2 linked regions of the Drosophila melanogaster genome follow. Each later gene encodes a partner of the first gene's protein in a complex. Each region holds a gene or a part of one and is shown in the gene's direction. Other genes may lie near its edges. The genes, in order: Nup153 and Nup58.

Evidence for each region.
Region 2: Nup153 (region 1) and Nup58 share a complex: the UniProt entries of both Drosophila melanogaster proteins name them as parts of the nuclear pore complex.

The regions. Positions count from the first base shown.
Region 1 is NC_004354.4:16,597,442-16,602,289, forward strand, and holds the start of Nup153 (nucleoporin 153kD), read left to right. Parts: upstream 1-1,799; 5' UTR 1,800-2,198; exon of another isoform or gene 2,199-2,282; 5' UTR 2,283-2,713; coding exon 2,714-2,872; intron 2,873-2,938; coding exon 2,939-3,454; intron 3,455-3,512; coding exon 3,513-3,757; intron 3,758-3,934; coding exon 3,935-4,848. Other genes in the region: CG9784 (uncharacterized protein), read right to left, coding at 1-801. UniProt on the Drosophila melanogaster protein: Component of the nuclear pore complex (NPC), a complex required for the trafficking across the nuclear envelope. Functions as a scaffolding element in the nuclear phase of the NPC.
Region 2 is NT_033777.3:19,643,292-19,647,605, forward strand, and holds Nup58 (nucleoporin 58kD), read left to right. Parts: upstream 1-1,734; 5' UTR 1,735-1,873; coding exon 1,874-2,797; intron 2,798-2,858; coding exon 2,859-3,575; 3' UTR 3,576-3,615; downstream 3,616-4,314. Other genes in the region: Vha13 (vacuolar H[+] ATPase 13kD subunit), read right to left, coding at 217-387, 447-547, 915-996; CG6195 (uncharacterized protein), read right to left, coding at 3,679-3,840, 3,922-4,314. UniProt on the Drosophila melanogaster protein: Component of the nuclear pore complex, a complex required for the trafficking across the nuclear membrane. Together with Nup54, required for transposable element silencing regulation in ovarian follicle cells.

The DNA.
Region 1 (4,848 bases):
CAGAACCTGAAAGGCCAGCTGCGACTTCTCGCGAACTTGATACAATTGATCCCGCTGGATAAGGGCCTCGTGCTGGGACTCATCGCGTACCAACTCGCGCACTTCCGTCGAGGAATCGCTGCCCTGCAGTCGGAAGTTCAGATCGCCAAACCAGAAGACATAGTCGTGATCGTAGATCTCCCTATACCGCTTGACGTGGTAGTGATGGTTCTCCAGTATCTGCTTGTAGTCCTCGATGCGCTCGTCCATCATATGGTCATGGGCAGTCAGATGGGCCACCACAAAGGCCAGTCCGCAGCCGTAAAGGGTGAACCTGACACTGACGGCGCCCTTGTTGCCCCAAATGCCACCGAAACCGGTCCTCGTGAACTCCGCCTCGATGTCCTGCAAGTGCTCAACGTGCTGCCGCCTCACGAACATGCTGAGCAGCAGCCCCTGCATCTGCTCGGTCTTTACGGCCACATAGTCGTAGTTGCGTAGCAGTTCCTTAGCCTTGTGCGTCCACGGATCCTCCTTGAACAGTCCCAACACCTGTTGCTGCGGCTGGGCATTGACCTCCTGGAGCCCCAACGCATAGATGTCCGGCAAGTGGGCATTAGTCTCCTTCGTGTCCTTATCCACCGTCACATCCTGCAGTCCCAGCAGATGGCGGAGGGATATGTTATCCGGAAATCGACTGCCCACATTCCAGGTGACCACATATACCCGGTAAGTTTCCAGCTGTTGCTTCCCTTTGCCCTTCGATCCGTCCGGCTCCGAGTCCGGAATCTTGGGTGTCTTGCTAGCCTCCGTTTGGCTCATTGTTGCTGGACTTGACAAATCGAAGAGATTAACCCAACTGGCTGCTCACAGCAATCAAGTTGTTTACCCAACCGATTAAGGTTTTATTGTGTAAGTCGATTCTTTATGCCTTTGTGGATTTTGTTGCTCCAATCTGGGTTGCTGGTTAAGTTGGGTGGTGAACAGCGGCGAGGGCGGTCGGTAATTGCTGAAAATATTGCAGCACAAATAGTTTTTAACACTTGTTTGCCCAGCAGCAGCAACAACAACAACTGTGCTACAACAACACGACGAACACAATAACAACAACTAGGGATGGCAAAACTGAGAAGATGACGATATCGACTAGCGGTATTTATTTTCCAGCCCTAAAAATGTAAATTTCTTAGACGTTAAGAGGTAACATATTTGATTCATCTAGTAGTAAATTCAAGTTGTTTTAAAATGGCTTGCTAAAATTGAACCAAAACAATATGGTTTCCCCTATAACCCATTTTTTAAGATTTATTTAACATTTATACTGTATAATTTCTTTGTCATATTTGCACCTTAATAAGGGCTTTTATATTTGGCGCTCATATTATGTTCGTTTATTATATTTGCTTTATTTCTAATGCAGAATCTGTGGTCACTCTAGCACTCGCTGAATTTTAACTCGCTGGAAATTCTTTTTAGGACAACTATCGATTAACATTAGTACAGTATTTAAACTTTTGCATTATCACACAGCCAAGTAAAAACCTAAACAAATACCTCACTCCAACTTAAAGATACAAACGAGAATTCCTTTTAGTCAATGCAAATGCTTAGTATTCAAATGACAACACAAGCAAATGGTTACATATGTTATAAGTCGCACTTGAAGCGGTTCTTGAGTAATAAGCCCGTATGGCAGTTCATCACCAATTAAAAATATTTAATAATTACAGACTTCCAAACCGTAAACGTGCATGTAACCGATAGCTGCAGGCAACGTATCGATTAGCACACGCTGCCCGACACGCCGATAGTATCTGACAAACATCGATTTTGGTTCCAGCTCTACTTTGTGGCCACACACGCGTTTTTTCCCCAATCAAATCGTGCTCTTTTGAAATTCTGTTTCTTGCAAATCGGTGGTGCGTGTTCTCGTGCAACAATGGAAAACCTGAATGCGACCAGCGGCAAATGTTAAATTGCAATTAAAAGTGTGGATTTCGCGGCGGTAAAACGCCAAAATTCGTACCGAATCGCTGCGCGCGTGTGTGTGTGAGCAGAGCGTGAAGAAGAGGAACGAAGAATTGCGAAAGCAGTGTGTGCGGAAGAAGTGGAAGAAGCACAAAGACAAAAGGAAGGTGAAAATATATCAAATATATATCAAATCTATCCGGCAAAAGTAAAACAAATATTGAAGAAAACGGGCGGCATGCTGGAAAGCGGTAAGGGCAAAGCCAAAAGCAAGAACCTCGAGCGCTTCGCCCGAATTCGGTATTCAATCCTTTTTCCCGCCTCTAATTTTGCAGTGCTTGTGCCCAGAATTTGCTCTTCATTGGTGGCCAAGAAGTCAAATCCTGATCAAACGCGACCAGTTTGTGGCGCCAAACAGAATATTATTTAAAAATATCGCGGCGTGTGTAAAACCTCGGCGAAACGCGAACAAAAAAAACCACGACGGCGTGCGTAAGCGCACTCACACCTTTGCACACGCACAGACAGAGAGAGAAGGCAGGATAGAGAGTGAGAACGAAGCGAGTGAGCGAACATTATCCGCACCTACACATACAAACTAGCTCGCAGGAATTGCAACAGTGTGTGCTTTTTTTTTGGTTTTTTTTTTTACTTACGTTTTTTGTTGTGTGTGCGGCAACGCTTCTTTTTCGCGTTTTTTTTGCATCTCTCTTTTGTGCCGTTGCTTCGCCGGCTAAAAAGGTGAGTCTGAATCTAAAGCGGCATAATGGAGGATGCACAGGAGCAAAGGGAATCCTCGCAAGCCGAATTGGCCAAAAAGCATCCGCTGACGCCGCTCAAGGAGCTGCCTGAAGAAAGCGAGGAGGAGGAGGAGGAAGAGGATGAATCCTCGGCGGGAGCCCTACGGGAGTCTGACAGCAACAACGTAAGTACAGTCGACGATAACTTGGTTCCCATCAAATATCCAACTTCCGTGCAATTGCAATTGCAGTCCATCATGGGGAAGATGAAGATGCGCGTGTCCAGCATTCTGCCCGCCTCCTTGAGCGGTTGGTTTTCGCCGTCGTCCAAAGATGGGAACGATGCCTTATCCTCCCCAGCTAATCTCCGCCAGTCACAGCCACGCCAGTCCAATGGACGCCTCACTACCAAGCGGAAACGAGGACGCCGTCGGATAATGCTAGCCGAAGTGGATGCCGATGCAGCCGATGATCTTGATGACGGCTCCGATGCCAAAGGCCTCAACTATGAGGAGGTGGCCCTGGCCGACAACATAGCCGAACACGACCTGGCCGCCGAGGATGAACAGACGCGGCGGAGCGAGTACAATGTGTTCCTGCTGCGCAAGCGAGCCGGGGCTGTTGCAGCTGCCGGCGGTGACGAGGATGAGGCCGAGGAGGATGAACTGGAAGAGGACGACGAGGATGGCGATGAGGAGGATGACGATGAAGAGCAGGAGAATCTCCAACAGTCCGCCGCCGTGCAGACCAAGCGTCGACGCCTGGAGGTAAGATCACATCTTCAATCCTGTCTACATTTCCCAACTAATCTTGAATCCCTTTCAGCTGGAGACCCCCGTCAATTTGCCGAACATGCGTCGTCTGCCCCTTTTGTCATCCACGCCTGCTGCTCCGCTCGCGGCTGCCACCAGCTCCTCCAGCTCCCAGATGTACAAGGGCGTCAGCCACATTGCGCCACATCGGCGCAATCACCTCAATTTGTATGGTAGTCAACGGCAGCGCGAACCCGCGTACAACTTTTTCACGGGCAACGAAGCTGCCGAGGGAAGCACCGGGGATCTGCCACACAGGTATGTTACTGCAGTCATGCTTACTAAAAGTGTTAATATGGAATTCAAAAAGATAACTACCTTAGAGCTCGTTTCAAACAAACTCAAATTTGGGCGTTGCATAGCCAGGCTATTGCCAAGACGAAAAAGAAGAAAACCTTAGTGAAAATTATAAGGCAATCATTTAAATCATTTTAGCATCCGCCGTTCACTGAACATACCTTTCGGAGGCAGCAGCACCGCTACCAGCTACAACAACAGCCTATCCAGCCTTCCTAACCACAAGCGACCATCGCTCATAGGCAAGCAAACCCATCGACGCGATCTTACCATGGATGAGACGGGGACTGGCCCGGCCATGAGTTCGGAAGAACATCTCAATCATTTGCTGAGAATAAGCAGGACCAACAACAATACTAGCAACAATAATAATAATAATAATAACAACAACAATGTCATTGAGACAAAAACAAGACGAAGTGAACTGTCTGCGGCCGCAGGAGGTTGCGGTGATTCGCAGTCCGAGAGCGATATGAACGAATACCACGACAATGGTGAAGGGCACGACGGACTTCGTCCGTCGCATTACAACAGCAACAGCAATTTAGAATTTTACGGAAATCTGCAGAGCTCCAAGTCAATATTTAACAGAAGCAACACCGCCGCACAGCAATCGCATCGGAATTCTACGTGGTCGCTGAATTCCCTTACCCAACGACGTCGCTTCAATGCGTCCATATACGGCAGTACGTCGGCACTGAGCGACAGTCGTCTGCTTAGTGGCAGTGCCTCTAACTCAGGCTCTGCATCTGCCTCTAGCTCGCCCTTTTACCAGGGACGCACCACCTTCGGGGGCAATTCCGGCAACAATCGCCTCTTCAGTCGCAGCAATCTTAGCTCATCCGCCGCATCCTCAATGTTGGGACTCAATTCTGCCGGCAGCTCACCGGCGCATCAGCTGCATGCTTCCATGACTGGTGGTATTGGATACGGTATGAAAGCGGTAGATATGCGACCTTCAGACTCCGGCAGTCTTGCGGAGACATCTGTGGGCCAAGGTGGCAGTAAGAAACCCGGTACCGGGCTGTCGAACACCACGATGCGCATTCTCA
Region 2 (4,314 bases), on another chromosome or scaffold:
AAAACAATGATAATACAATCCCGCGCGAGTGGGAGGCAAACTAATATGCTCGCTTTTTTCTACATGGAACAACAACGAATTTTCACTTTAATGTATGGAATAATAATACAGCAGTGTTTCCAGTTAGATTAACCACTATTATTACGGGTCTAAATTATGGATTAGAGTTGAACGTGGACATTGAATTTACAGCGCACAGTTTGGGGGGCCACCTCTTTACTTGTGGTTGTAGTTTTTGTGCACCTCGGGCGAGATGTTGTACACGTACTGCAGGATCTCCAGGATGAACGGGTCCTTGCGGGTCTGGATGGCCCGGTCCATGTCGGCCAGCTTAACGCGGATATCCGCATCGATCTTGGCCGCCACGCCCTCGCGACTGCCCATGTGCTGTAATCGGGGTTCACACGGTATTACATGTACATAAGTTTCCCTATGTGGCGTCTTACCTTGGCCTCGAACTCCTTGAAGGCGCGCTCGCGCTCCTGGCGGAACTTCTCGATCTCCTCGGTAGCCTCGTCCTTGGCTTGCTTCAACCTCCTTGCCTTGCCTGCGGGATTACCCAGAAATCCAGATGATCATATCAGTTCAACTTGGCAAATCAGCCCTCCGCAAGATGACCTTCCATAACTTAAAGTGCCAACTCGCACAAAAACTATTTACTGCACTTAAGTTGCAGTCTTAGTGGCCACAAACAATTTTAATTTAATTTAATTTAATTTAATTTAGTTTAATTTGATTTATATCTCGAGTTATGGAGGATTGACTTGTATTTACTTTTTTCCACCACATCATGTGACCCACACACAACGGTGATGGTGGTTATGGTAGCACGGGGGCGGGGTGGTGAAAAAATCGCAGTTACTTGTCGCCCTGCCATTTCCAATTGGATTTTTGTTTCTGAAAATGAAACTTACGTTTACGAGCCTCGGCGACCTTCTCGGCTGCCTTTTTCTCGGCAGCGAGCAACTGCTGGATTCCCTGCGTCTGGCTGGCCATAATTTCCAAACTTCTCTAATTCCTCGCCGTGGTGTATACTGTGCAAGTCGAAAAAAGCAAGTGCGACAGAATCACAATCGACGACGAACTGTGAAAAATGTCATATGACGAAGTCACACACACGCAAACTCACCACGGTGGCTAGTTGGTGTGGGTAAGCAGTGTGCCGGAAAGCTGGGTGCTGCGAAACTCTTGGAGATGGCTCGGTCGATTGCATATCGATTAGCTTAGTTGTATATTATTGTTTGGTATTGTATTGGCCAGAAGTATTAAATAATTTGACGTTTTTGTAAGCATTAACTTTCTCATTTATTCCCATCATGAATATTTTTCTTTTATAATTTTGTAAACTTTAATTCATTTTAATTTAAATGCAGCGTTTAATCTGCTTCGCACTGTAATAGTTCCGGCTGTATTTAAAGCTATTGTAAGAAATTAGTTCGTAAAAAATTCTTTATATTATTTTAAAATTGAAATACATAAAGATTAAATTTTGAAATAATTTATTCATATTAATATCTGAAGGCTATCGTTTGATATTAAATAACAACCATGTTGTAGTGGACCGAACTCACCACACCTCAGACCAAAATTAAATATTTGAAAATCACAAATCGTAACTATATGAAGCTGCAAATACTTTATATATCTTTAGCCATAGTGTATTTATTTCAATCAATTTGAATACTTTGTTGATATTTTTCCGAATAAATCTCTGCTGACTAGCTATCGATATCACCGATAGTGTCATCTCTGTCCTAGAAGTTAAACCACAGATGCTCAGGCATTAAACAAAATTAATTTCGAAATTTGTTGCAGTAAATATAGTTTAATTGTTTAAAATTCCTGTATAAATCCTTAAGAGGGGTGCCTAAAGATGTTTACGCCCACCACGAACAACGCCATTGGAGGCGCCACTGCTGCTACCGGCGCTTTTGCTTTTGGCGCGCGACCGGCGACGACGACTGCTCCGCCTCCATCCTTTGGAGCAGCCACCTCTACGCCAACCTTCGGTGCTGCTCCGGCCACCACCTCCTTGTTTGCAGCTCCCGCGGCCACACCGGCCTTTGGGGCACCAGCTGCTACGCCGGCTTTTGGAGCACCTGCGTCCACGCCTGGTTTTGGCGCCACTTCCACTGCGGCGCCGGCTTTTGGAACGGCTGCTGCCACGCCCGCTTTTGGCATACCAGCAGCAACGTCGGCTTTTGGAGCTCCAGCTGCTACGCCCGCTTTTGGAGCTGCAGCTGCCACTCCCGCTTTCGGAGCACCCGCCGCCACGCCCGCTTTTGGAGCACCCGCCGCTACATCCGCCTTTGGAGCACCAGCAGCCACAACGGCGTTTGGAGCGCCAGCTTCCACGCAAGCATCGGCCTTCGGAGCACCTGCACCAGCCGTGGGCACTGTGGCTCCCACTTTCTCCTTTGCCACCCCGGCCACAAGTGCGCCGACCACCGCGCCGCCGGCCTTTGGATTCGGCACCACCGCCACAACGGCGGCAGCTGCGATGCCAGCATCCCTCAGCTCCGGAATTGGATCGTTTTCCTTCCCCAAGCCACAGGCCACCACGGCGGCCAGCTTGAACTTTAACACAACCACGACGACGGCGACGGCACAACCCTTCAACACGGGTCTGAAACTGGGAACCACCAATGCGACGACAACCCTAGGAGGAGGAGGAATCTTTAGCAAGCCAGCGGGTCAGGCAGCTGCCCCGGCAGCATCGACTTTCGTGGGTCTGGGGGGGATCGATGTGACCGCCACGCAACCAAAGCTGGGGGACAATAAGCAAGATGGCATCAAGGTGCTGACCATGAGTCTTTCACAGAGAAACAAAATAATCATTTTATTTTCGACCACTCCAGATTAAGGAAACCCAAGTGCCCGACGAGATAATAAAAACGGTGGATGGCCTAAAAGCGTATATCAAACAGCAGAAGACCATCTCCTCTGACATTGGACGGACATCCACCTCCAAATTCACGAATGTCAGCCACGAGATCACGAACTTGAAATGGGCGCTGCAGAATATGGCCACTTTAGTTGAGGGCAGCAATCAGCAGATCCGCCTGATGCGCCAAGAGACCGTCAAGGCGATTCAATCTCTGGAGATGGCCCAACGCACGCAGGACACCCCAGCCGGCCTGCAGTTCGAGAACAATGCTCCGTTCCAGTACTTTCAGTGCCTGGTGGCGAAGTACGAGCAGGATTTGATCGCCTTTCGCCAGCAGATCGCTCTGACCGAGCGCCACATGCACGCGATCTCGAATCCGCAGAGTATTTCGCCGGATGATCTAAAGCGTGGCTTTCGCCAACTTAATGAGAGTTTCATCTCGCTGGCGGGACGCCTCCACGAGGTGCATCAGCGGGTGGAGGAGCACAAGGAGCACTACCTAAACCTCAGACGCTACCGCCTGCGAGACACCACCAACGTTTTCGAGCGGATTGACAATCCTCCGCTGCCGACGGTGGAACCTCAACGGATTAGTAGCGGTCCAACGCCCTTCTCCAACATCTCGGCTCTGATGAACAAGTCCTATGCAGCGGCGGCCAGTTCCGCCAGCAATGCGACAGGCAATTGAGAATGGCACTCTTTACAAGTTTCAATAAATCGTTATGTCGAAAGGGGCCTAGACTTTCACTTTCAGTTATAGCATAGAATATATATTTCACACGCAACAATCTTTATTTCTTCACCACCTGGATGACGTCCTCGTCGGCCATCACATGGGCAATCCCCACGCGCTGCGGCGAGTATTTCGTGGAGGTGCCCCACACCAGGGCATACTTGAACTGCGCCGCCAGCGTGCGATGGATGGCATGGCACACATGCTCCACACTGACGCCCTAAACAAGGAATATATAAGGAATTAGAGTTGCTTTACCAGGCTGAAGAAGGAATTGGATGAATGGAAAACAGTCTCTTGCCTTTCTCAGAATCAATCCATCGTCAAAGTCTGGAGGAGCGCCTGGCTTCTTTGTGTACACTCTGATGAGCTGGAGAGCTTCCCAGAGCGCCTCCATCATGTAGTCCAGATTAAGTTTCATGTTGCAACTAACCACTATCGAGTTTGGCTGGCGCGCCAAGCGGTCCACCTCCTCGATGGAGATCTGATCGATCTTGTTGTAGACATACAGACAGGGCAGATACACACGGTTGGCGGTGACCACGTCGATGAACTCGTCCTCGGTGCAGTCTTCGCGGAAGAGCACCTCGGCGTTGAAGATCTTGAAGGAGTGCAGGATGGTCTGGACCATTTTCTCGTTGCAGCGCGTAAGGGAACAGGTGGCGTTGAAGCTCAGGCCGCCGCCCTTCTTCTG